3 linked regions of the Notamacropus eugenii genome follow. The protein of the gene in region 1 interacts with the protein of each later gene in a pairwise test. Links are inferred from orthologs where the notes say so. Each region holds a gene or a part of one and is shown on either strand. Other genes may lie near its edges.

Region 1 (7,902 bases):
CCCAGTCAGCGCTGCTGGTACTTGCCTGGAAAGATTGCAGAGCATTGTGCCTTTAGGATATTGCCCCCTGACTGTGCCCTGCTGGACCTACCAAGCATAGGACTTCTTAATGGGTTATAAGCCGGATGATGTGCTGTCTTTCTTACTTCTGATTAGTAGGGATGCAGGCAGGCACAGTTAGGTAGTTCAAAAATTAAGGACTGTTAAATTCTTTGTTCCTATTCAGGTCTACTGACCTGTAGCTACAAGAGTAGGTGCAGGTCAGCAATGGGAGGGAAACAGGCTAGCTAGGGGAGGACTGACTTATTGGTTCTCTCAGTATTACAGATGTGGTCATTAAACACCAGGTCTTGCAAGTGGTGTGATGGAAAGAGGACTGGTTACACACACACACACACACACACACACACACACACACACACACCTACCTTTCTCAGTCTCCAATGCCACCTAAATGCCAGTTGCTTGAAAGGAAGAGGAGCTGGGGATGATTCCTTAGGGCTGTGTTCTCTTTTGCCCTCAAAGGCAGCTGGGGCTGCCAGCAGAACATCGGTCTTCTTGTTCTAGTCTACTTTCCACACAAGGCTCAGAAAATCTGGGAACATTCTGTATCTATGTGCTTTCACTCTAAGCTAGTTTTAAAAATCCCAATCTACGTAAATTTCCCAAAACTCAGTTTGCAGCATGAGAATTTCTTAGTTTTTATGTTTATGGGGCAAAATGCTTGTGTGTGTATGTGTGTGCACACGTAGCACCTACGTATTTGCCTTGTTCTAGGGGGAGGCAGCTGAAGCCCTCAGTGACTTTACCCCAGTCTATAGTGGGATGTGAGATTTGAGAAAAGGCATTCTCCAGGCCCATGAGAGGCCTCAGGCTCTGAGTGCTCCCTGTGGAACTCTTAGCCATATTGACTATGAGCTCCTAGAGTTATTTAGGCTAAGTCCGATGCTCCCAGACTTACGGGGTGAGATGTGAGGACAGCTCAGAGGTGCTGGCTTCAGGCCATATTAATTTCCATGACAACATTTGGTGCCAGATCATAGGATCCTAATGTTAGAACAGAAAGGAGTATTCAAAGAAACAGGCCCAGAGAAAAGTGACTTTCCCAAGGTCACAAGGCAGCAAGACTTTCAACTAACGCTGATTGTATTTCCTATGTCCTTTCCACTGTACCATACTGTCTATTTGTTCCTGAGTCATATAATCCTGGCATCTGAAGTACTCTACTCTAGCCTCTGCCTCAGTACAGAAGTCTGTCTCACAGCATCTCTGACAATATTCATTGAACATAGGCTTGAACACCTCCATTGACAGGGAGCTTACCACCTAAACCTAAACCTTACCACCTGTCCTAACCTCTTTCTTGCCTTCCTCAGGCCCTAGAGACTAGTTCATCTGCTTCCTACTGCTACCACCAGACATGGGGCAGTTTTCTGTTGGTGTAGCTTCTCTTTTCAGTACTAGATCCACAAGTCAGTTCTCCTATAAGGCACAGGCCCCTCTGGACAGCAATTTAAACATTTGGCTACCTGTGAGTGCTAGGTCATTATTGTTGGAGTGGACACTTCAGGAAAAAACTGCCTTTCCTGACCCAATGTGATATAATTTTTCTGCCTTAATAGGGATTCTGAGACTGTTGAGGCCACTGCATGGTAGGCTGCAGAGAGCCATCCAAGAAGTCTGCAGGATACGTGATGTGACTTGTATGTTGTGAAATCACATTGGACTATATCAGCAATGCAGGCTCATTTTGTGTATCTTGGGGGACACCCAAGGGTCCTCCCTCTAGTGGAACCCGATATGATATCTGAAACATGATTCCAGATCAGCAACACCAAAGCATCCACAGATACACGAATTTGGGGAAGCAAGAATGGGAGCTTTTGTTCTCAGTCACAAGTCTTTCTAGGACCTGAGAGCTTATCTAGCTTAACCCTGTCATCTTACAAAGGAGGAAACTGAGGCTCAGGGGACTAAGGGATTTTACCAAGAATCAAGATTTTAACCTGGGTCTTAACAATAGCAAATTCATTGTTCTTTCTACGGCATCTGGTTGTGTCTGTCCCCCCAGGGTAGACCTTCTCAATGAAGGAGATTGACAATCCAACTTTAGTCCCTCTGTCCTGCAGCCCCAGGGGATGGGCTGGGATGGGCACTGCTGCCAGTCCTCTCTTCCCCTCCTTTCCCCAAATCCCAGCAAGTGGGATTTCAGTTCACACAACTCCTGCCCTGGTAGTGTTTAGATATTTTGTCCAGCTCTCATGGATTAATTATTGGAATTCTAGCTCTTTGACTACTAATTAGGTATCTTGGAGATTAAGGAGGAATATGATGTTGAAAATGAACTTCTTAGGGTGTTGAGCATATGTGGAAAGGTATGAAATAAAAGAAAACAAGCAAAACAAAGAAACTAGAAAACAAAAAATCCTAGCCTAATTCCATGATAGGAGGGAAATTTCTTCTTCAAATAATGTGGACAAGGAAAACGATGGTACTGGAATGATAGCTTTGAGTGAATGTCTGAAGGTTGGGATGTGAAACTTTAGGCTGAATATCTGAAAGAAATAACACTCCACTCAAGATTGGTCACTCAGAGGACCAAAAACTCTGGCCTTGGAAATCATGGATGATTGTTGATATGTCAGGAATGTGCTTTGGGATTGGGGGGGAGGGGGTTCAATGCTGAATATTTTTTGAAAGGATATACTTGAATATGAAATTCCAGGCTCTGGGTTATTGCCATGCCATGATTTTTGTTTGTTTGGGGAGGCATATAAGTAGTGGATGGAAAGTTTTCTTAATTTGTGGCTTGGGAGTCCCTTTAATGGGTGAGAATTAAATACCTTTTGAGGGCAGCTCTCTATCTTTGGGTACATCAGGCACATTGCTCATCTCTTCAAACTGTCACCAAGGAAAGGGAAAGAGTCCTTGCTGAAAGCTATTCTGTGCCAAATGAGCTACTTAGCTTCAGATATATCCAAGGACTCTTTGGATTAAGCATTCAAAACGTAGGGGAAGTGGGAAAGCATCAGAGCTGTGGATAAGGAAGCTAATTAAAAGCAGGTTGTAGAGAGGAATTGCCTGAACTTCCTTTTGTTTTCAAAAGTCTCACCTCCTTGCTTGGACCAAAGAGGGCAGAGCCCCTGAAATGAAGGCAGATGTGGCATGGGGTGGGGTACAGCATGGTCTAGTGAAAAGGCTACTGATCCTAGAGTAAGAATATATGAGTTCAAATGCTGGCATCAACACTAGTTATGTGACCCTGGGCAAGACATTCCCCTCACAGAGCCTCAGCTTCCTTTTCTGTCATATTGATGATAATAATCATTGCATTTCCTGCATCATAGGTTTATCATGAGGAAAAGTACTTTGTTAACCATATTATTCAATGAAGATCTACAGCTCTAGTTTTCCTTTGTTGCTAAAAATCATTTCATCACTTGAATGGTATTTTGTGGTTTACAAAGTGTTTCATATACTATATGTGATAAATTATATGAATCTCACGACAACCTTATGGTGAAATCAGGATAGATATTATCCTTGTTTTGCAGACAAATTGCAGTATTCAAGGTTTCCTTATTCCTATACCTGGGGTCTTTCCACTCATTAAGACAACCTGTTTCTTCAGAAATTTTCAATATCCATCTCTCTGTCAATATGCATTACCAAAAAAAAAAAAAATGCCAGAGTACTTGCAGTATGCTTGGGTCTGCTGTGGGTCTAATCTGTCATTCAGAGCTGGTTTGAACCCAATTTGGGGGCAGACGATGGGGGTAGAGTGGTGTTTTCCCCAAATGTAAGAAGGTAGAGTAGACTTAAACCTTATGCCGAACTTGCATGGCCCAAGAAACCACTTGGGAAGTCAGAATAAGACTCTAGACCAAGTTCTAGAACCATAGTATAGACTAGGAGGACTTGGACCTGTTGTCAGAAAGGTGACCTTCAAAGACCTGGGTTATTCCACTATTCTTTCAGTTTTAGAGATGGGGAGCAGAGAAAAGGGAAAGGTGGTACATGCACTGCCCCAATCACTAATTCCTACTTTCAGAGATTAAGTCAGACACCAAATACCAAAACTTGGCATAATGTGTGTTAGAAAGAGGCCTGGCCCAGAAGCTGTGAGACCTAAGTTTGAATCTTAGTTCATACAACCTGATTTTGTGACCTTGACCAAATCATTCCCCTCTCTAGGTGGAATCCCCTCCCCCTATGAAATGTGAGTTGCACATTCCATTAGGGTTGGAGAGTTGCTGTTTGACTAGAGAGGGAATGAACTCTTGAGGCTGGAAGAAAAGGTGACTTTATGATGATAAACATGCAGCCCTGGAGTGGAGTGGGACAGGAAAGGGGCTGGAGGCTATGTGCCTCTCTTATATAGCTGAGGGTTACAGTGCACCTCTGGTCCTGAAACATCTGCCAAAAGTGATGGGGAGACAGAGAGAGAGGGAGGGAGAGAGAGAGACAGAGAGAGAGATGGAGAGAGAGGAAAAGAGACAGAGAGAGGGAGAGGGGGGGGGGAGAGACAGAGACAGAGAGAGAGAGAAAGAGAGAGAGAGATGGAAAGAGAGATGGAGAGAGAGGAAGAGAGAGACAGAGAGAGAGGGAGAGAGAGCGAGAAAGAGAGAGAGGGAGAGAGAGAGCGAGAAAGGGAGAGAGAGAGAGAGAGAGAGAGAGAGAGAGAGAGAGAGAGAGAGAGAGAGAGAGAGAGAGAGAGAGAGAGAGAGAGAGACCTGTAGGTGGTGCTGGAGAACCAGGCAGCCTTCCACTCCCCATTAAACTCTTGGGGAGGGGGGGTAGTGTGGGAGGAGGGGGGCTGTCTCTGGGAAATGTGCGCATTTATTCAGTAGCAAGAGTGCAGACCTCATAAATTGAGAGAGAAAGGCAGCGGTAGCCAGCCTCCGATATTTCCCCTCCCATCTCTTTGAATATAATTTTAGATTTAGATTCAGATTAAATCTAAGGGGAAAGCACTTTATAAGACAGAGCTGTGTAGTTGCGAGAGCCAGGGTTATGAGCTATCAAATGCAGTTACATTAAGACAGATTATACTGGGCAAATTGAGCCATTTAGAAGGTGAGAATCAAAGAAAAACTCTGAGCCTCTCTTCCCTCCTACTCTCTCCTCTCCCTCTCTAAATTGCAGCCCCTAGTCTCTTGCAATTCTGAGGCACAAAAAAGTAGGTGAGACTGCTTTTGTATCTGCAAAGTGCTTCACTTCTGAATGTAATTCTAGCTGAGTGCAATCTAGGTTAAGAGCTGGACAACCGGGTAATTAGAGCTCACTGGCTGCCAAAGGGCTGTCCGCTGTGCTCTAGCTCATCTCGGTTCCTAGAGCCGAGACCTCTCGTCCCCGGAGCGGAGGCTGCAGCGGCTGGAGACGCAACGCCTGCGCTCGGACACTTCGTGCTGCCGGAGATGATGGTGTTGGACAAGGAGGACGGTAGGTAGGCTGAAGAGGCCACCCTACCCTACTGGGCTCCTTCTTCTCATGCCTCCCCATCCCATCCCGGCACTGTCCCTGCCTCTGCATGGCAGCTCTCCTGGCATGACCGGACAGGGGCCAGCAGGCACGCGAGTGTGCCTCAGTGCCAAGGGCCGACCCGCCGTGTTCGCCCTTCTCCCTGGCCTTAATGAAAAGTAATCTAGCCCAGAAGGCGTCACTCCACGCTCTGTTTGTTGAAGGATGTACAGTAGGAACCATTTCTGCCCGTTTGAATCATCCAGGCTGAGAGCCCAGTGACTCATATTGGTCCGGGCTTTCGAGGGCTTCTTTATATAGTTAGGGTGGGCGGGAGGGTGTGGTGTGGTGCGGTGTGGGGTGTGTGTGTGTGCATGTGGAGTGAGTGTGCATTCCTCTTTTGGAGTCAAAGGGCAGGCACTAAGGGCCCCCTTCGCTGCCCGATTGCCGTGATCATTTTTCCTATTCTGTATTTTGTCTTTGCGGCTTCCCTGCCCACCACAGCCATAAAGCCGGCAGCCTTAACCTAATCTTCTCCCTAAGCAGTGGGAGCAAATTGTCAGCATCCCAGAGCTCTGGGGGGAAGGAAGAAGGAGGGTCGTTCGAAAAGTGCACGGTGTGGAGAAGCAGCCCCGAGGTGTCGAGGGACTGGTCCAAGACTGCTCCCAGACTCACCTCTGAACTTTAGCAGCAGCAGGCATGTAAAGGCACAGAATGCAATCCCAGCACAGAGCTGGGATGAAAGCTTTCCAAACCCAGCAAATAAGTAAGAAAACTGCTCCATTGCCCCTGGAAAGGTCTAGGAGGTGGATTCCCGCCTCCCCGCGCCCCCCCCCCCCCCCATGCTCCATTCTGCAGTCTCTGATTATTGGACTCCTTGGGTATTTGTTCTTGGGCTTTGCTGTCTATTTCTCTGGGCTCTCTTGGAAGGGTAAGTGAAGTTAAGACTGGGAGCTTTGTAATGGCATATAATAATTTCTGTGGTCCCCAAGAGGGGCCTGACTGGTTGGACTCTCCTGGAAATCCCCCCCTCCCCAGACCTTGATCAGATGGGAATCATACAGAGGGTTGGTGGACTTTGGAGCAAAGAGATGGCTGGGTTTATTCAACAGAGTTGAAGCTCATCGGGTCAGAGCCAAAAATGAAACAGAAGAATTATTAGAGATGTGTTGCATAGGGCCCCCTCCACTGGTTAAAGAAATTGCTTGTGTCTGACTGCACAAGAAGGCAGTTGTCAGAGGCATGGATCCCAGCATCTCCCTGGCTAGGTGTGTGTTTGGGGGAGAGAACCGAAGGTACAACAAGAGATCTATGGGAGGAGAAAACAGGGGCAGCAATGTCATGAGTAGTCAAAGCTGGAACTCGAAGGCAAGACCCTCATGTACCCATGGAAGCCAGGTGCAGTGGAACATAGGGGTGCTGATCTGACCACATCCAACCCTTGCCAACACAGCCAGTAAGGTGTTTCCTCCAGAGGCCTTTTCCCAGTTAACAAAAACTGATGAAGAAATCCTTGGAGTGGAGCTGAGACAGGACACCTGCCAACAGAAGTGACTGCTTGAGTGGGAGCCCCCACCCCCAGCCCCCCATTCCCATCTCTTACCGTCTGTGGCTAGGATCCCTTCTTCTTACCCCTCTCCATCAGCTAGCAGACAAGAGAACTCCTCGGCGAGGCAGCCTTTGTAGGCTCAGTTGCAAGATAGGGTGATTTCCATTAAGAGCACTGATTGTGAAGTCCGAAGGCCTGGGTGCAGGTTCTGTTACTTACTATTTGTGTGACCTGGACAGGTTCTTGATCTTTTCAGGCCTCTGTTTCCTCATCTATAAAATACAATGTTGGACTAGGTGAGTTCTTAGATCCCTGCCAGCTCTAAATCCTATGAATTGGGAGGGTTGAGACATCTCAGTCATAACCAATACCATGGCCAAAGTAGTCAGGCCCAGGACAGCTGCATACCTCTCTGTTGGAACACCTACATCATCAGCGTCAGTGATGCCTTTAATATCATTTTACAGATGAGGAAACTGAGTCTGACAGAAGTTAAGTGTCCAGGGTCACACAGCTAGTAAATGTCTGAGACAGCAAACTCAGATATTCCACATCCAAAATTCTATCCACTGTACCTGGTTACAGGGTATCCAGGTGGGCTTCCCCCTGACAGAGGCACAGGCTTCTTCTCACCTTGAGGTAAGGTCCTGGATCCGTGGTGTTCATTGGGTTCTTAGGCCACCTGGCCCTCTCTTGGTCAATCAAGCTGATGAATCCTATGACTTTCTAGAAACTGTGCTGTCCCCCACCCTGAGCTTGAGGCCTGTCTTTCTTGTCCAAACTCACACCCACGCTTATAATAACCACAAGAGAAGTTTTATTCAGCAAGGATGAATTCAAGGATATTCTCCTACCTTGAACATCAATGAAGGACCATACCCTGAGCCGTACCC
Region 2 (7,050 bases), on another chromosome or scaffold:
TTTGTGTAACTCTGTCTCACTTAAATCCAGTTGAAGCATGAGTCAAGACAATCACCACCATGATGTCATTGGTCCTCTTTGGAAACGGACAAACAATAATGGTTATTGTATAGTATTATACATTTGTTTATGTCCTATTCCTGTTGCTAGATTGGACTCTCCATGAGGGGAGAGACTGTCTTAAATATCTTTGTATATTCTTCTTCCCTTTTCTCTCCAGGAGACTGGGAGACTATAGTTGTATAAAATTGCATGTACTAGAGAAACAGTTGTTGCATTGGTTGGTTTTGCTGGGGGAAAATACATATGTAATTAAAAAAATCTTTGTATAGGATCATAGCCTTTAAAAGTGGAAGGGTCTCCAGCCCTCTCCTTTCATAGATGAGGAAGTTCATCCAAGACGTGAAGTGATTTACCCAAGGTAGCCAAGATTAGAAGAAGGATTTGAACCTATCTGACTCCAAATATCTTTTTTATCCCACTGTTCTTCACTGTTCTCTTGGTGCTCCAAGAAACTCTCTAAGATTGTAAGGTACAGAGCAAATGCCCATCTGCATCCTTAAGGAGGGAGTTTCCTCACTGGGAGTTCTCTATACCAATATAATCCTAGGTCACATACAAAGAAAAAAGAAGAGGTGTTATTGCATGGATGAATTCATGCTTCTCTACCATTCCTCATTTTGTTTTGCTATCTCTAATATTCTCCCTATCCTACTGTATGTTCATATTAATCTTATTCATTAGGTCTAGTTCCAGGTTTGCCCTCATGTGGTCCTTTGTGGTCCCCTGATCTTCTGCAGTTATTAGAACTCTCTTCCCCTTCACTGTGTATATACTTTTCCATGTATCTTAGTTTTGTTTTGTTCAGAGATAAGTTCTTTTAGTTAGAAACTCTGCTATATACTTCTTTTGTATACAGTGTCACAGAACCAAGCTCACATTCAGTCTAAGTGAATTGAGTTACAGAGTTTCTTGGAAACAAGTTTGTTGTTGTAGTTCTAGATGTAGTAATCTTTTTTATTTAATAATTTATTTTGCTGTAATCTCAGTCATTAGTTTTTGACATTATTATTTGCAGTTTACCAATCTGTGCATTTGGTTTAGTTGAGCATTAAATATGCAGTCGAGTTGTACAGTCTAGTATGTATACAGCTATTATGCAAAATGTATTTGAAAGTCTAATAAAGAACTGAAAAAATTGAAAAGGAAAAAGATTGTTAATGACTGGGAAGATCAGGACAACCTTCATGGAAGGAATGGCATTGGACAGTTGAAAAGGGTCTCTGTTCTTGGTATAGTAAATGGTACAAAGGAAAGCCCAATCCAGAGGATCAGAGAAATCTACAATGTGGCTACATGTTAGGGTATTTGTAGTCAAGTAGCATGAGATAAAGCTAGAAAGACAGGGGGTCCTAGATTGTAGATAGCCTTGATACATAGGTAGAGAAGTATGAAGTAGGGAGCCTCTGAAGATTTTTGATCAGATGAGTAATATGATTAGAATTATGTACAAAGGCAACTAATTGGGCAGTAATATAAAGGGTCATAGTCTGGACGGGGAAGAGAAAGGAGAAGAGAATTCATGTTGATTGATTATTTCAGTTATCCTGCTAGGTGATGGGAGCCTGTATTTGGGAGGTGAGGAGTTGGATATGAAAAATGTTACTGAGGAAGAATCAGTAGGACTTGGTAACTAATTCAACATAAGAATCTCTTGGAGACTTAGTGAATGTTAGTGCTGTGGATGGAAGTAGTAAAGATGGAAGAGTAGATTTAGTAAGAAAGTTGAACTTGGTTTTGGACACATTGATTTGGAAAGGCTACTGTGATATTCAATTGGAAGAGTTCCATAGACAATTGGGGATATAGATAAGAAGAGATGAGATGTGGGAGTCATCTGTGTCCATCAGTGCTCTCCATAATGGAGACTGTAGATTGATCCCTACTTAGGCAATGGCTTGATCCCAAGAGATGTGTAATCCTCCAATTGGAGGAGAAGATGAATGGCATCCCACCTGCCTTTCAGTGTTCAATCATGGGATCTCTCCAACAGAACCACACTTACCCTTACCCCCAACACTACCCTGCTCTGCCTCTTCTTTCTGCTGTGCATGCTTCCATCTTCACCCTTTCTGAGGCTAGTTTTGGCTCTTCAGGACAGTTATAACTTAATCTTCAACATAGGCACCCATAGTAGCACCTGGCTAAGTGCTATTGGAAAAATCAACTACTTCCCCAAAAGGAAACCCACCTTCTTCCCCCCAGATTACCTTGTGACTGTGACAGTCTCCGTATTCCTAGGCAGTGACCCTTGAATGAAATCCTTGCCGTTCTCTTTTTCATTTTGAGTCTTTTGCACAGAACAGGTGGGCATAGGTGTGTAGTGATCTTCATCATAGATCTCAATACGTTATCTTCCTTCCCTTCCACCTGAAGCCCACCCATTATTTTCAAGAACACTGCCATGTTTCCAGTTGCCCAATTGCACAACATCAATGTCATCTACTCTTCATGTTCCTTTACTTCACACATACAGTCACTTGTCTAATCTTGTTTCTCTCACCACGTGTCTCAGGCTGATTCTTTTCTCTACTCACACAGCCTAGTTCTGGCCCCGTCATCTTGTCTAATCTATTATGAATTTGCTAATTGGACTTCCTGCCTCTCCTCTCTGCATTCATAGAACCTATAGCTGTCAAAGTGATTTTCCTAAATTGAAGGTGTGATCATTTCACTACCCTACTCAATAAACTCTAGTGGATCTTGCCCACTTTAACTTTACAAATATTTCATCTTTATCGCATCCTTTCTATTTGTTTTTGTGTATGTAAATTTTATAATGCATAAAATTGAGTACAGTAGTGTCATATAATTTACAAATAAGTAAATATACATACGTTGTTGTGTGCTTGACCACTAGCCAAAAAGTTTTGGAGACCACTGGTACAGATAGATGAAGAGTACTGAATTCCTTTGCCAAAGGACAAAGCATAGAAGAGAGAGCTAAAGGGAGAATCTTAGAGAATACCTACTTTTGGGGCCAGAAAGAGGAAAAACAGCCTAGGAAGGAGAGAGAAAAGAAACTAGTTTGAGCTTGTGTGCTTGAAGTGTTGAAAGAGAAAGTATTCCAAACGACAGGGTCATTAACAGTGTTGTATGTTATAGACAGGTCAAGAAGTGGTAAGGGATGGTAATACTTACTGAATTTGGCCAGTGGGAGGTCATTGGTGACCATTCAGAGAAGTTTCATTAGAAATGTAAATGTATAAACTAGATTTCAAGGGAGTGAGGAAGTTGAGACCATTTTAGATACTGTATTCTCCCCACTCCCCACCAAAATAATATGTACTATAGGGTAAGGGAGAAATGGAACAGTAATGATTGGAACAAACTTTTTTTTTTTTAGGATTAGGGAGACCAGAATATTTTTCTAGGTAGATTGTTAAGGAATCAATAAAGAGGAGAGATTGAGGATGTGTGGGAAAGAGGGACATACAAAGTGATTGTTTAAGTAAAGGCCTTGATCATGTGGTAGGAGGTACGGATAGAGGGAATACCCTTAATGAAGGGTATTAACACATCCTCTGACTAGAGGGAAGGAAGAGAGAGCCAGAGATGATGCTGAGTAGTTACGTAATGACCAGAAGACTCTGGAGGCTGGGGAGCTCACAATTGCTGGCCTCAATCTTTTCAGTAAAGTAAGTGGGAGATTGTCATCTGCTAAGAGTACTAGAAATATGGGTGGGGTTGCACTTAAGGAATGAGGAAAAGGTTTAAAAAGACATAGGGAGTCAAAAGGAGAGTAGGATTGTTGAGCAATGAGAGCCCAGCTGTTTTATAACAAATTTTTAATGGGTGACATCACCTCAGTGTCATGGCTTCCTTTAGCATTACTCAGCAGGCTAGGAACAAGAGCAGGGAAATTGGATTGAGAAGCCTTACCAAGCATGGGGATTAGCAGAAATGAAAGACCCAAATTTCTCGGAGTGGGGAGTAAGGGGTAGGGGTTAGGGAACGATTTGGCAACTTATTGTCTTAGAGAATTGCTTGTAGCTCTAAAAAGTTAAAGAGATGAAAAGCTGGTTTCATTTTAATGAGAGTGGGAGAGGGAGAAGAACAGAAGATTGCAATCAGAGAGAGGAATTTTGAAGGTCAAGGTCTCCAAGGTGGGTTGTGTACAGTACAGTGAGATGGCAAATGATAAATTCTTCAGACTTCAGTTGAAAAAAATTAGTTGAACAGGTTGAGGAATTATGTGTTCAGAATGCCTCAACATGAATAGTAATGATGAGTACTGGGAGTTAGGTGGAAAAAGAAACAGGGATCAAGGTGCTAAAATCATTGAAAAGGTTGAAAGAAGTACCTGGAGGTAGGTCAGTTTCATATCAAGCATCTTAGGTTTAAAGCTAGAAGAGACTTTTGAGATCCAACCATTTTATAGATTTTATAAATGATTTTATAGATATTTTATTTTATATTTCTATATTATATTATATTATTTATTTAATTTTATATTTATATTTTATAGATGAAAAAATGAGACCTTGTAAAATGACTTTCTCAAGGTCACATAAGTAGCAAATAGCAAACTGGGATTTGAACCCACAACTTGGGACCCCAGATTCAGTCTTCTTTCTACTGTGTTAATCTGAGAAGGTGGTGTTTATAGATTACATAGACTTTGAAGGGACAAAAATACTTTTTTGGGGGTGGAGGTGAAGAATTGAATATCTTCATTGTACCTCTCTCATTTCTTCTGTTTCTCATCTTTTCTGTACTATCACGTATTGTGCCTTCACCAGGGCCCAAGAATATATAAAAATGCAAATTAATCTATCTGACTAGCTAATGTACTCTTAAGAATCACAAGTTGTAATTGTTTGTGAGATGACAAACTAATGAGGTTTCTAGAATGGACAGAGTAGGGGCACAGCACCTTCTGGATCTGGAAAATCTGTAGAAAAAATCTTGGCCCTCTCTTTGTACTAGAGAAGTATGAATTTTTTTCTTTTTTTAATAGGGTATTTATAATGCCTTATTGTAAAGTTTGAGTTAAATATTTAAGCATAGACTCTGTGTCATCTGCTGGCCTTTGTGTGTCCTCTGCAGCTTCTACAAAACTCTACAAAAGTTCCCATTTAATTTCTTATACCATCCCATGATGTATTGAAACCACGGTGGGGAAAGTCGCGGTGTGGAAGGGATGACCATGTACCTTATGCTTTTGTGTTGCCCTCCTCACCATAGTGAATGATTACTATAGACAAGAGCTTACTCTAGTGTTGTCTAATTGATCATATTTCATGTTCGCTGTCTTCTTCAGTGTCCTTCAGAAAAGATTATTTTTTATTATGACTAAATTCTTCTATTCATGTTAGTTTGTATGAATGTGCATGCTCTTAAAAGAGAACCTGACATACTTCAAAGCATTTTAAGCAAATTAAATAAAAATATTTCCATTGGAAAAGGTTTTATCCTCCATAGTTAATGTATATTCTTTCAGGCATTACATTGTAGAGATATATTTAAGAACTAAATGAATGGTAATTAGCCATGTTTATCTACATTAAAAAGAAAAGAACACTTGTATTTGTGTAGGTGAAGGGAAGTACTCAGTGAAACTCCTTTGGTGAGAAATTCTCTTGAGTTTTCATTAGACCTGGAAAGGACCTCAGATAAATTTTGATCCAGTCCTCTCAAGAGGCCAAGTGACTGGACCAAGGTCATATGGATGGTATGTAAGTGCCAGAACCAGAATTTGAATCCAAGTCTTCTGATTATTAAATCCAGAGCTCTTTCCATTACACTGTGGTTTTTTTAGAAATAGGAAATGTGACTTAATGAAGAACTTATAGATGAACTAATTTATTATATAGATGATTATATATTTTTGATTCATATGGTAGATTTGACTTTCTTTTTTGTACAACATACAGACATGCAAACATTTGATTTTATAACTGGAGGAAAGGAAATTATGTTGTAGTGCTATTTAATAGGGGAGAGTTGTAAAAATCTGATTTCATTATTTAAATTTAGATGTTATGGCATGTTTGTATTTTAATATGCTTAAGATAAGACTAAAGAAAGGACTGTCCTTCTAATTATCCACGAAATATATTTTTCCACATAACTTGCCCTGCTCATCTTCTCTTATTACCAGTATAAAGGTACATGCGAATGAGAATTGTGAGATACTGTTACCTTATAACATTTTATGTTTTCAAGCCTTTATATAGATGTATTCACTCCCTAATCATTCTGAAACTACCATTTAGATATGTTGCTACCGAGTAGAAGTAGGTTACCTCTACCACATGACTCTGGGGCAGGCTTGCACAACTTTCGGTTTGCCAGAAGTGGTCCCATATATTTAAATTTACCTTGTTTGAAGTTCTAATTCTGTAAAATATGGTCCTTGGTTCCAGCCCAATGAAAATATGCCATGTTGAATTACTTGGACAAATGGGGACCTAGCTGTAATGTGAGGATCAATGAAGCAGTACTCCAGAAGGTGAAGAGACAAATGGGACTCAGGAAGACAAATACTCGTGAGCAGAGCAAGGCAGAGGTTTGGTTTAAGTTCTAGGAATGTAGTCAGAAACTAGGAAATCTCCCTATGAGAGTTAACAGTAGTGATCTAAGTTTCTTCAGGGCAGAGACTTGGGTGGTGGTAGTTATTTTTTGATCTTTGTATCCCAAGCACACAGAACGATACTTTGCACACAGTAGGCATTTAATGAATATTCATCGAATTGAATGGATGGCAAGAGGGCCATTAGGAATTGGGGAAACAAAAAAGAGTAGAAAAGATAGAATGTGTACATAGCACAGGAAAGGACATGGAAGGCAAGCACCTTGCTAAAACGAAGGCATTTTGTAGACCAACCTTATTACTGGTCATTCAAGGACCCAGGAGGCTGGCAACGCTTTTCTGCCACAGAACATTTTTGCCCTGCTTTGGTTGTTTGAGTTGTTTGAGTTTGAGTTTGAGAATTCTAAATTTAAAATTGAAAAGAACGTTAGAAGCCTTCAAGTTTATCTCTACCA
Region 3 (7,897 bases), on another chromosome or scaffold:
TACTTTACAAGTCTGAAATTCTGACTTTGTGATTTGGAGAACTCTAAAGCAAATGTGATAGTTCAGGTATTGTTTTAAAATAGCAATTTATGAAACTAAGATTTCTCTAGAAATTGAGGGAATATTCTCTTTTTTTTATATACATACATATGCATATGTATATATATATGCATATAGTTTATAAAGTATCTTGAATATTTGTCTACTTGTTTGTAGAATGTTTCACCTATTTATTTGAAGAGTGACTTGAACATTATTGATAATATTAAGGAGTATCATTTATAAATAATAATTTATATACCAAATGAGAAATTATTTGGATTATCTAGGACAGTACAGTGTCATTATCCAAGAAAATACTACTAGAACATTTTGATGTTTACAGCCCTTCTAGCAAAATCATTCCAAAATCTAATACAAACACCAATTTGCTTTCCAAGGACTCAAATGGCAAAAATTGTCTCATGCTAGTTTGGAGTAGAATGTTAGCATTATTCTGTATACCTACTGCACGCAGTATTGTATATAAGCACCAATGTAAGCATCTGATTTTAAAATGCACTATGCGTGAATAAGGTGAAAACTCCTTAAAAGGGACCCAGCACCATCTTGGGGATCTCATTTAATACTAATTAATTCTGTGCTTAAAAAAAAAACAAAACATGGCTCAAAATTAAAAGAGAAATGAATAAAAGATTTGACTCCAAGTACTAACATAGCCACTAAGGTGCTGATTGGCTTTGGATAGTCACCTGAAAAATATTTGTCCTTGTTGTAGGCATGGCTCTAGAACCAGCACCCTCTTAATTCAGGTTCAGTGTTGGGACAAAATGAGGTACTCACAAGGCACTGAACGTTTAATAAAGGAGGAAGCTTACTTGGTTTGTCTAGCATAGCAAGGCTGTGCCAAAAGGATACAGGGGTACTGAGCTTCTCTGGACACAGCCCTCATCATCTCCATTTGGAAATGTGTTTAGTCAGTGGCCGATTGGAACAGAATCTCACATGGTGTCAGCACCAAGCAAGCCTGAGATGTACCAGTGACGTGAGGCTGGCACCTTTAATGCCCCCAGATCAGGAAGCTGTGTGAGGAAACTGTTATTCCTTTCATAGTCTCCAACTTCCCTGATCTTCAAATTAAGGGTAAGAACACTTACCTTTACATACCTTCTATTGCCACATAAGATAGCAGATATGAAACTGAGAACCTTAGAAACTGCTATATAAATGTGAAATGCTATCACGATTATGTTGAGAGGCAAGACAGCTTAGTGGATAGTGAGGTGATCATGGAACCAGGAAGACCTAAATTCAAGTCCTATCTCTGATATATATGACCCTTGCCTAGTCAAGTCACTTAACCTCTGTTTTCTAAGTAATTTTCTAAGATTTTAATGTGTAAAATATGCTCGCCTGTATTGATAGAAGGAGGTTTCTCATCTGGGATTTCCCTTTATTAATGAAATTGTAGGTCCAATTCTTATCCTAAAATGTCAATTATACAGGGGTTTCTTTTAAGCATACTTATATTCCAGGCCCATCTTAAGACCCTGAGTATGATAAGAAGTAAATCCCTTGCTAGGCAATGTTTATAATAATAGTTTAGGGACTTAACAATGTTTTAGACACCTAACACTCATTCATAGAATTCCTCACATTTATCTTTGGTATGTTAAACAAATAAAATTGGCTGGTGTTTTATTGAATATGAAAACTTAGGACACCAGAGATACTGAGAGACATCAGGCCTTTAAAACACAGTTTGCATCAGACTCATAAGAACTTTTAATTTTTACCTATCCTGCTGACCTTTTAGATTAGAGTTGCAGATGCAGCCAGAGGTGGTAGCTGTAGTAAGACAGAACAAGCTGGGGCCATACACAACTAAGCAGCTTGCCTTTTGGTTATTATCTCTGTTTCTATCTTTATACTGCACTATGTCTCCTTGCTCTCCCCCTTATTTCTTTCCTCCTCCTTCCCCTTCCTGACTTGCTCCTCCTGCTCACTGTAACCTATACCCCCTTTTATTTGCTTTGTTCTACTAATATTAAAAAATGAAACAAGATTCCCAAATTAGCAAATTTATACAACCTTATTTTTAAAGAAAATTATTTATGTAACCCACACCCCTAATTCGTTATATTTTGCTTCCTGCTCCCAAAAGGAGATCATTTTGTTGAAGTTTTGAGTTTCTCTAAGCTTTTTAAAAGTGAAGACTGTCTTTTAGCCTTATTCTGAACAAGATGAATATAGATTCTTAAAACTAATAAATCAAAATAGCTTAAACTCTTTATTGCTATAAGATTATCTTTCCAGAAGAGTTTGTTTCATTTAAAAAAAGATTTGAGACTAATTGCTAAAAAGAATACTGTTATAGTAACAATCACCACCATCCTTTTCTCTTCCTTTAACTAACCCCACCAGAAAAACATATAATCATCAATTTTTGTCACATCTCAGGTTAACTGCTTTGCCAAAGTAGATGATAATTCTGTATTTTTTGTTATTAGTACTTTAACTATATAACAGCATGTTTAAATCCAATTTAATTTTGGTTAGCTATCACAAACAGGGGTATATATGCATCTATATGCATGCATATACACACACACATATATATGCATGCTTTTTGCAAGATTTATTTAAGAGGAAAATTAAAAGATAAAGTATGATTAGTGTATCCTACTATATTTATTACTACCAAACCTTTCAATGATTTTTTATGATATCAATGGCTTGTAGAAGGTGGAATTAAAATATAAATTCATCCGTATAAAAAGGCTAAAAATTGATAGCTGCTATTTTAGAGGGTATGTGAATGTGCGTGTGTCATTGTGTATGTCTAAAAAAGTAAACTTGCTGTCTGCCTGTCGCCAGGAAAAAAAAAAGTGGGACCTAATCAAACCACTGTGGGGTCAACCCTTGTGGTTTTAAAGGCCCTTAATGTTGTCCAGCTGCAAAATAAAAGGAATTGGGAGGGGAAGTTGGAAGGAGTGGGGGGTGGGGGGGCTGTTGGAAAAGAACAGGGAGTCTGGCTTTTATTTTTTTTAAAGTGAGTTCAGTGCCAGCCTGGACATTGGCTGTGCAGACTATTGAGCCATTGTCTGCTCCATTTCCAGAATAGCCCCCAGTTAATCACTTCGGCTTTGAAGGGAATTTCCTCGTGGAATTCTCCACAGAAAATCTAATCAACTGACCTGCCCTCTCAACAATGGAAGGCTTTTTTTTTCTCTCTTTCCCTTATTGGGGCGGACTCTGTAATGTAGCCTTTTGTGCAGAATGAACCCTCCCAGTAGGAGTGGAGGGAGAGAGAGAGGAAGGGAGGGAAAGAAGGAGAGAGAGAGAGAGAGAGAGAGAGAGAGAGAGAGAGAGAGAGAGAGAGAGAGAGAGAGAGAGAGAGAGAGAGAGAGAATGAGAATGCACAGTCTTGTGTTTGTGAGGGTGTGCTTACTCTGACCAGATGCTGCAGTGCACGGGGATAGTCACCATCTCTCTGTGTGTGTGAGTGTGTGAGTGTGTGTGTGTGTGTGTGTGTGTGTGTGTGTGTAGTGTGTGTGTGTGTGTGTGTGTGTGTTATGTGCCCCTGTCATTTCGTGTCAAAGGTACATTACCTGATTACCTTCCTCATCTGCCAGATTTTTATCTAGATAATTGGAACTGCTATGGAGGCTGTTCTCTGCCAGCCAGCTTAGAATCTGTAAAACCATAGTTTGTCCACCTTGTTATCTGTGGCTGCCTGGGCAGAGGAAATTAAAGAGATCCACAGCTAAGGAACTTAGCCTTGTTCCCTGCTCTCAACCACCTCCTCCCCCAGCAACCCAAAAGCCGAACAGATCCAAAGTTATTATTCTTTGGAGGTCCAGGGGGTGATTTTTGTTTCCTTCACGTGTGTTATTTGGGGATGTGGACACCTATTCCCCTGCACACAGCAGTGATGTTTTATGGAGTTTGGAGCTGAGGAAACTTTGGCTGTGTTGCCAGGACATTCGCACCACTTTGTGGAAAGCAAGAGCTAACAGGGAGACGGACAGAGTGAGTGACAAGTTGTTTACAGGTTTCCTTGAAGGGGCCTCTGCTATATTTCAATCTGTCAAAGTTGCTTTTCTTCCCTCAGAACAATGCCTGATTGTTGTGTGTGTATGTGTGTGTGAGAGTGTGTGTGAGTGTGTGCTTCCGTGTGCGGGCGAAGAGAAAGCCAAGAAGGGGGGATAAGAAGTGCATGTGTAAAAAATACTATTGCTAACATTTCCATTTTTTTCTTTAATTAGTTAACAACTGCAGTTTAAACGGGGGGCTGGTATTATAGATTCTCTTTTAATCCACCGCTAATACATTTTTCTTGATTAATATTATTTGTGTATGCATTTTATTCATGGGGGAGAGTGTGTATGGGGGATGTTAAATGAGTTGACTTCTCACATTCTCTGATGACTGGATGATAGAATTAAAAGGAAAGGACAGGCACCCTGAGGTTGTCTAGTGCCTAGCAGCCGCAGCGTGCTGCTCAGCTGTGGGGGAAGCTTTCTAAACACTCTGTGCCGCTAAGTGTGCTACCCCTTTAAGAGACTGGTCAAGGAGTCCTAGTTCACAGAGAGGGAGAGGGAGAGGGAGAGGGAGGGAGAGGGGGAGAGAGAGAGGAAGAGAGAGAGAGGAGAGAGGAAGAAAAAAGGGAGAGAGGGGAGAGAGAGAGAGAGAGAGAGAGAGAGAGAGAGAGAGAGAGAGAGAGAGAGAGAGAGAGAGAGATTGAGGGAGGGAGGGAGGGAGAGGGGGGAAGAAGAGAGGAGAGGAGAGGAGAGGAGAGAATCAATTGGTTTAGAGGGTTTGGACTCACTTGACAGGTTCAGTTGGAGACGATCATAGGTGGCTGCTGTGACAAAGGGAAATTGTGCTTTTCCAGCATGCTAACTGACCCTGATTTACCTCAGGAGTTTGAAAGGTGAGTTGAGTTGTTTTGTTTTGGATGTTATTTTTTTTAAAAAAATATGAAAGTATAACTCTCCCATTTTACAGGCTTAGAATCAGTTGTGAGATGCTCTTTAAAAATCATGCTTGCCGGAGAAGCTTTTATGAATCTATATGTTAACTGAATCTTGTTGTTTTCTGAACCAAATTGAAGGAATTTGCAAAGTCCCTAAGCTTGGTCTTGATGATTTTAGGTTTGGTCCTATAACAGAGATTTTAATGAACATTAAGCATCCTACCCCTCTCATCTCTTCCTTTCTTCCTCTAAATCTTTTTTCATGCAAAGCACCCACATTTTCAGCATCTCCGTCTAAGATGTAATTTCTGGGATGACAGAGGAATTTGAGGATGATTAGAACTGAGGCTTTAAGTTCCTGCAAAACTTTGGAAGTAGCTCCATAAAGCACATGACCTTTTGTTGATATAAGGGAACAGGGTGTGCATTTTTTTTAAACTCAAGTTAACATCACAACAATCCATCAGAAGGTCCTTTTTTTTTAAGTGTCAAAAAAGTTAAACACTGATGATTCCTAACTTTTAGTGGACACTTTTTGCACTGGCTGTCGAAAGCTCAATTTTGATTTATGATGTTTCCTTCTTTTGCCAAGACAGGAGCATGTGTATTTGGAATTAAGTTGTTACTATTGAGAAATTATTTTTAGCTGCTTTAGTTTTGTATTATTTCAAGTTGAGTTGGGCTTTCAAAGACGTTAGTCCTCTTCGTGTGCTTCTTAATATATACTGTAATTTTTTTTTTAAAAAATTCTTTATTCTTACTCTACCACAAGTTCAATTTTTGGGGAAAACTATAAATAGGATCTTGTTTGCCATTTAAAATAATTCAAACTTTGCATTCTCTTTGGTGATTTTTTTTTAATCTAAAAAAAGACAGGATGCATGATACATAGGCTATATTTTTTTTCATTTTCATGAAAGCTACCTTCTGTATAAACATTTGTTGTATCTGACTATGCAATGCAAGCTAGGTGCTAGACCAGCTGGTTAAAAATATGCTAAGTCAAGCTGTTCATCGCTCAAATGACTGAATTTGATATGAAAAGGCGAAAAAAGAAAGACAAAGATTAAAACATTTTAAGATTGCAGTAAATCAGTGAGCAATGGGAGATGAAAAAAGAGTACTGAGAGTAAAATACATCTTGAATGTGGTTATATATTAGGGTGCAGAATCTGAAATTACGAAGAAAATTAAAAGAACACAAAATATACTTTAGCAGTGGTTTCTTTTTTTCTTCCCACTGAGGGATTTATTGATCAGATATCCTCATTTAAATGGCTGAACTTCTTTAATGGCTTTATTGAAGGGTTCTAATATTTTTTCACTTGAATTTAGTAACTCCTCAAAATGTTAACATTTTACTTGGGAAGAATGCTTTTTTAAACAGAGACAGATTTGTTAATTATCATAGAAATTATTAGTGTTTGAAGTAGCAAATACTTTCTTAATTCAACAGAGTAACAGCTCTCTATGTGGTACAGAGTAAGAGTTAAACTATAATATTCTTTAACTGTAACTGCATGTTATGAAGATGATACTGGCAATCTGATTTGTAAGTCAGTTAAATGATTCTTATAAAAGGTAGTTACATATTAAAAGGTTATATTCTATGTTTATGTGTAGGCAAGCTTTACCACTGTCAGCTTTATTTGTATTTTCTTCAATTATCTCCTTTTGAGTTAATTAAAAACTCCTAACTGCAACCCCCAAATTCTAAAGCTAGAATCTCTTAACATTTTACTCCTGGCTCATGTTTCCTTTTTGCCATCACTCAGGGGCATGCACTTCTCACTGACTGGTTAAATAAGCAAATGGTAATCAATAGTGTTGGTATTATTGCTGACAGATTTGAAAATATTAACAACTCAAATATTTTTGAAAGACATCCCATGATGTAAGAGGTCTTAATTAGAATTGGTAATATAACCCCAAATCTTGATAGCTCATTACCATCTGTTTACATTATTAATATACAGGTAAATGTATCTGTAATAACCTAGATGTAGTGCATATCATGTAGCAATGACGATCTGCAGTTATAAACGGAAAACTCAGAGGATGTATACATAATATGTCTACACTACCACATGTGTTCAGCTGGGATTTTTTTCTGTTTTTTAAACTACTTGTGACTGTTTCCATACAAATTACTTATAGTTCACACAAATACCTGCCATAGGAGATTTTCAAAAATCAATAATCACCCATAAACCTATAAAAGAAGCCTTCTAAAATAACTTGTTAAATAGATCACTGAAGTGAACAAAGTTTCTTGCTTTTAGTTTTTTTTTCCATTAGAAATAGAACTTATGTCATCTTAGACTGTTTCCACTGAGAGATTTCTGACTATTTTTCATTGTTCTCTAAATCTCCATATTGTTTTGAAACTTTACAGAATAGTTAGAACCTGTGCAATTAAAAGTTAAATGTGGAGATGACAACTGTTTGATTTGGATCGGTATACGACTGTGATAACAGCTCTAGAGGTGAAAATGGTCAGGACTGTCATTTAAACAATTGTTAATTCATTCAAAATTGGTAGCAATTGCAGAGACTGTTAAAAATTGTCCTTCAGGATTTATTAAAAATTTACCAAACTGGACAGTGTTTTCTGAAAAGTAAAGTGAATTCCAACCTTTAGTTTTTATTTGCAAGTATTCACCTTCCTAACTAAAATGATAATGTAGACTCCACATGGGGATGAGAGTCAGGGAAGCATTTCTAAAGAATTCTTGGAAATATTATTGGCAATTAGGACCTATTATGTCTTACTTCTTAGAGTCAGTATAATTGACAGCATGCACTATATGTTAATAGCTATCACATTAAATGCATACTAGAACTCTCACAATATAAATCCTTTGTAGACTTTTAGATGTGTTCATGTAATTAAACACAAGCGAATCTGACTTTGCTTGA

What was found.
Region 2: the proteins of LMO1 (region 1) and PTPN3 interact in binary tests that used the Homo sapiens proteins (3 or more experiments, as listed by UniProt). The two-hybrid records come from large-scale screens. The link is inferred for Notamacropus eugenii from reciprocal best matches to the Homo sapiens genes LMO1 and PTPN3.
Region 3: the proteins of LMO1 (region 1) and SOX5 interact in binary tests that used the Homo sapiens proteins (3 or more experiments, as listed by UniProt). The two-hybrid records come from large-scale screens. The link is inferred for Notamacropus eugenii from reciprocal best matches to the Homo sapiens genes LMO1 and SOX5.

Annotation. Positions count from the first base shown.
Region 1 is NC_092877.1:37,385,434-37,393,335, forward strand, and holds the start of LMO1 (rhombotin-1), read left to right. Parts: upstream 1-4,881; 5' UTR 4,882-5,417; coding exon 5,418-5,442; intron 5,443-6,537; exon of another isoform or gene 6,538-6,998; intron 6,999-7,092; exon of another isoform or gene 7,093-7,281; intron 7,282-7,902. UniProt on the Homo sapiens protein: May be involved in gene regulation within neural lineage cells potentially by direct DNA binding or by binding to other transcription factors.
Region 2 is NC_092874.1:313,227,078-313,234,127, forward strand, and holds the start of PTPN3 (tyrosine-protein phosphatase non-receptor type 3), read left to right. Parts: upstream 1-4,024; 5' UTR 4,025-4,093; coding exon 4,094-4,166; intron 4,167-7,050.
Region 3 is NC_092874.1:181,994,931-182,002,827, forward strand, and holds the start of SOX5 (transcription factor SOX-5), read left to right. Parts: upstream 1-4,802; 5' UTR 4,803-4,898; coding exon 4,899-4,936; intron 4,937-7,897.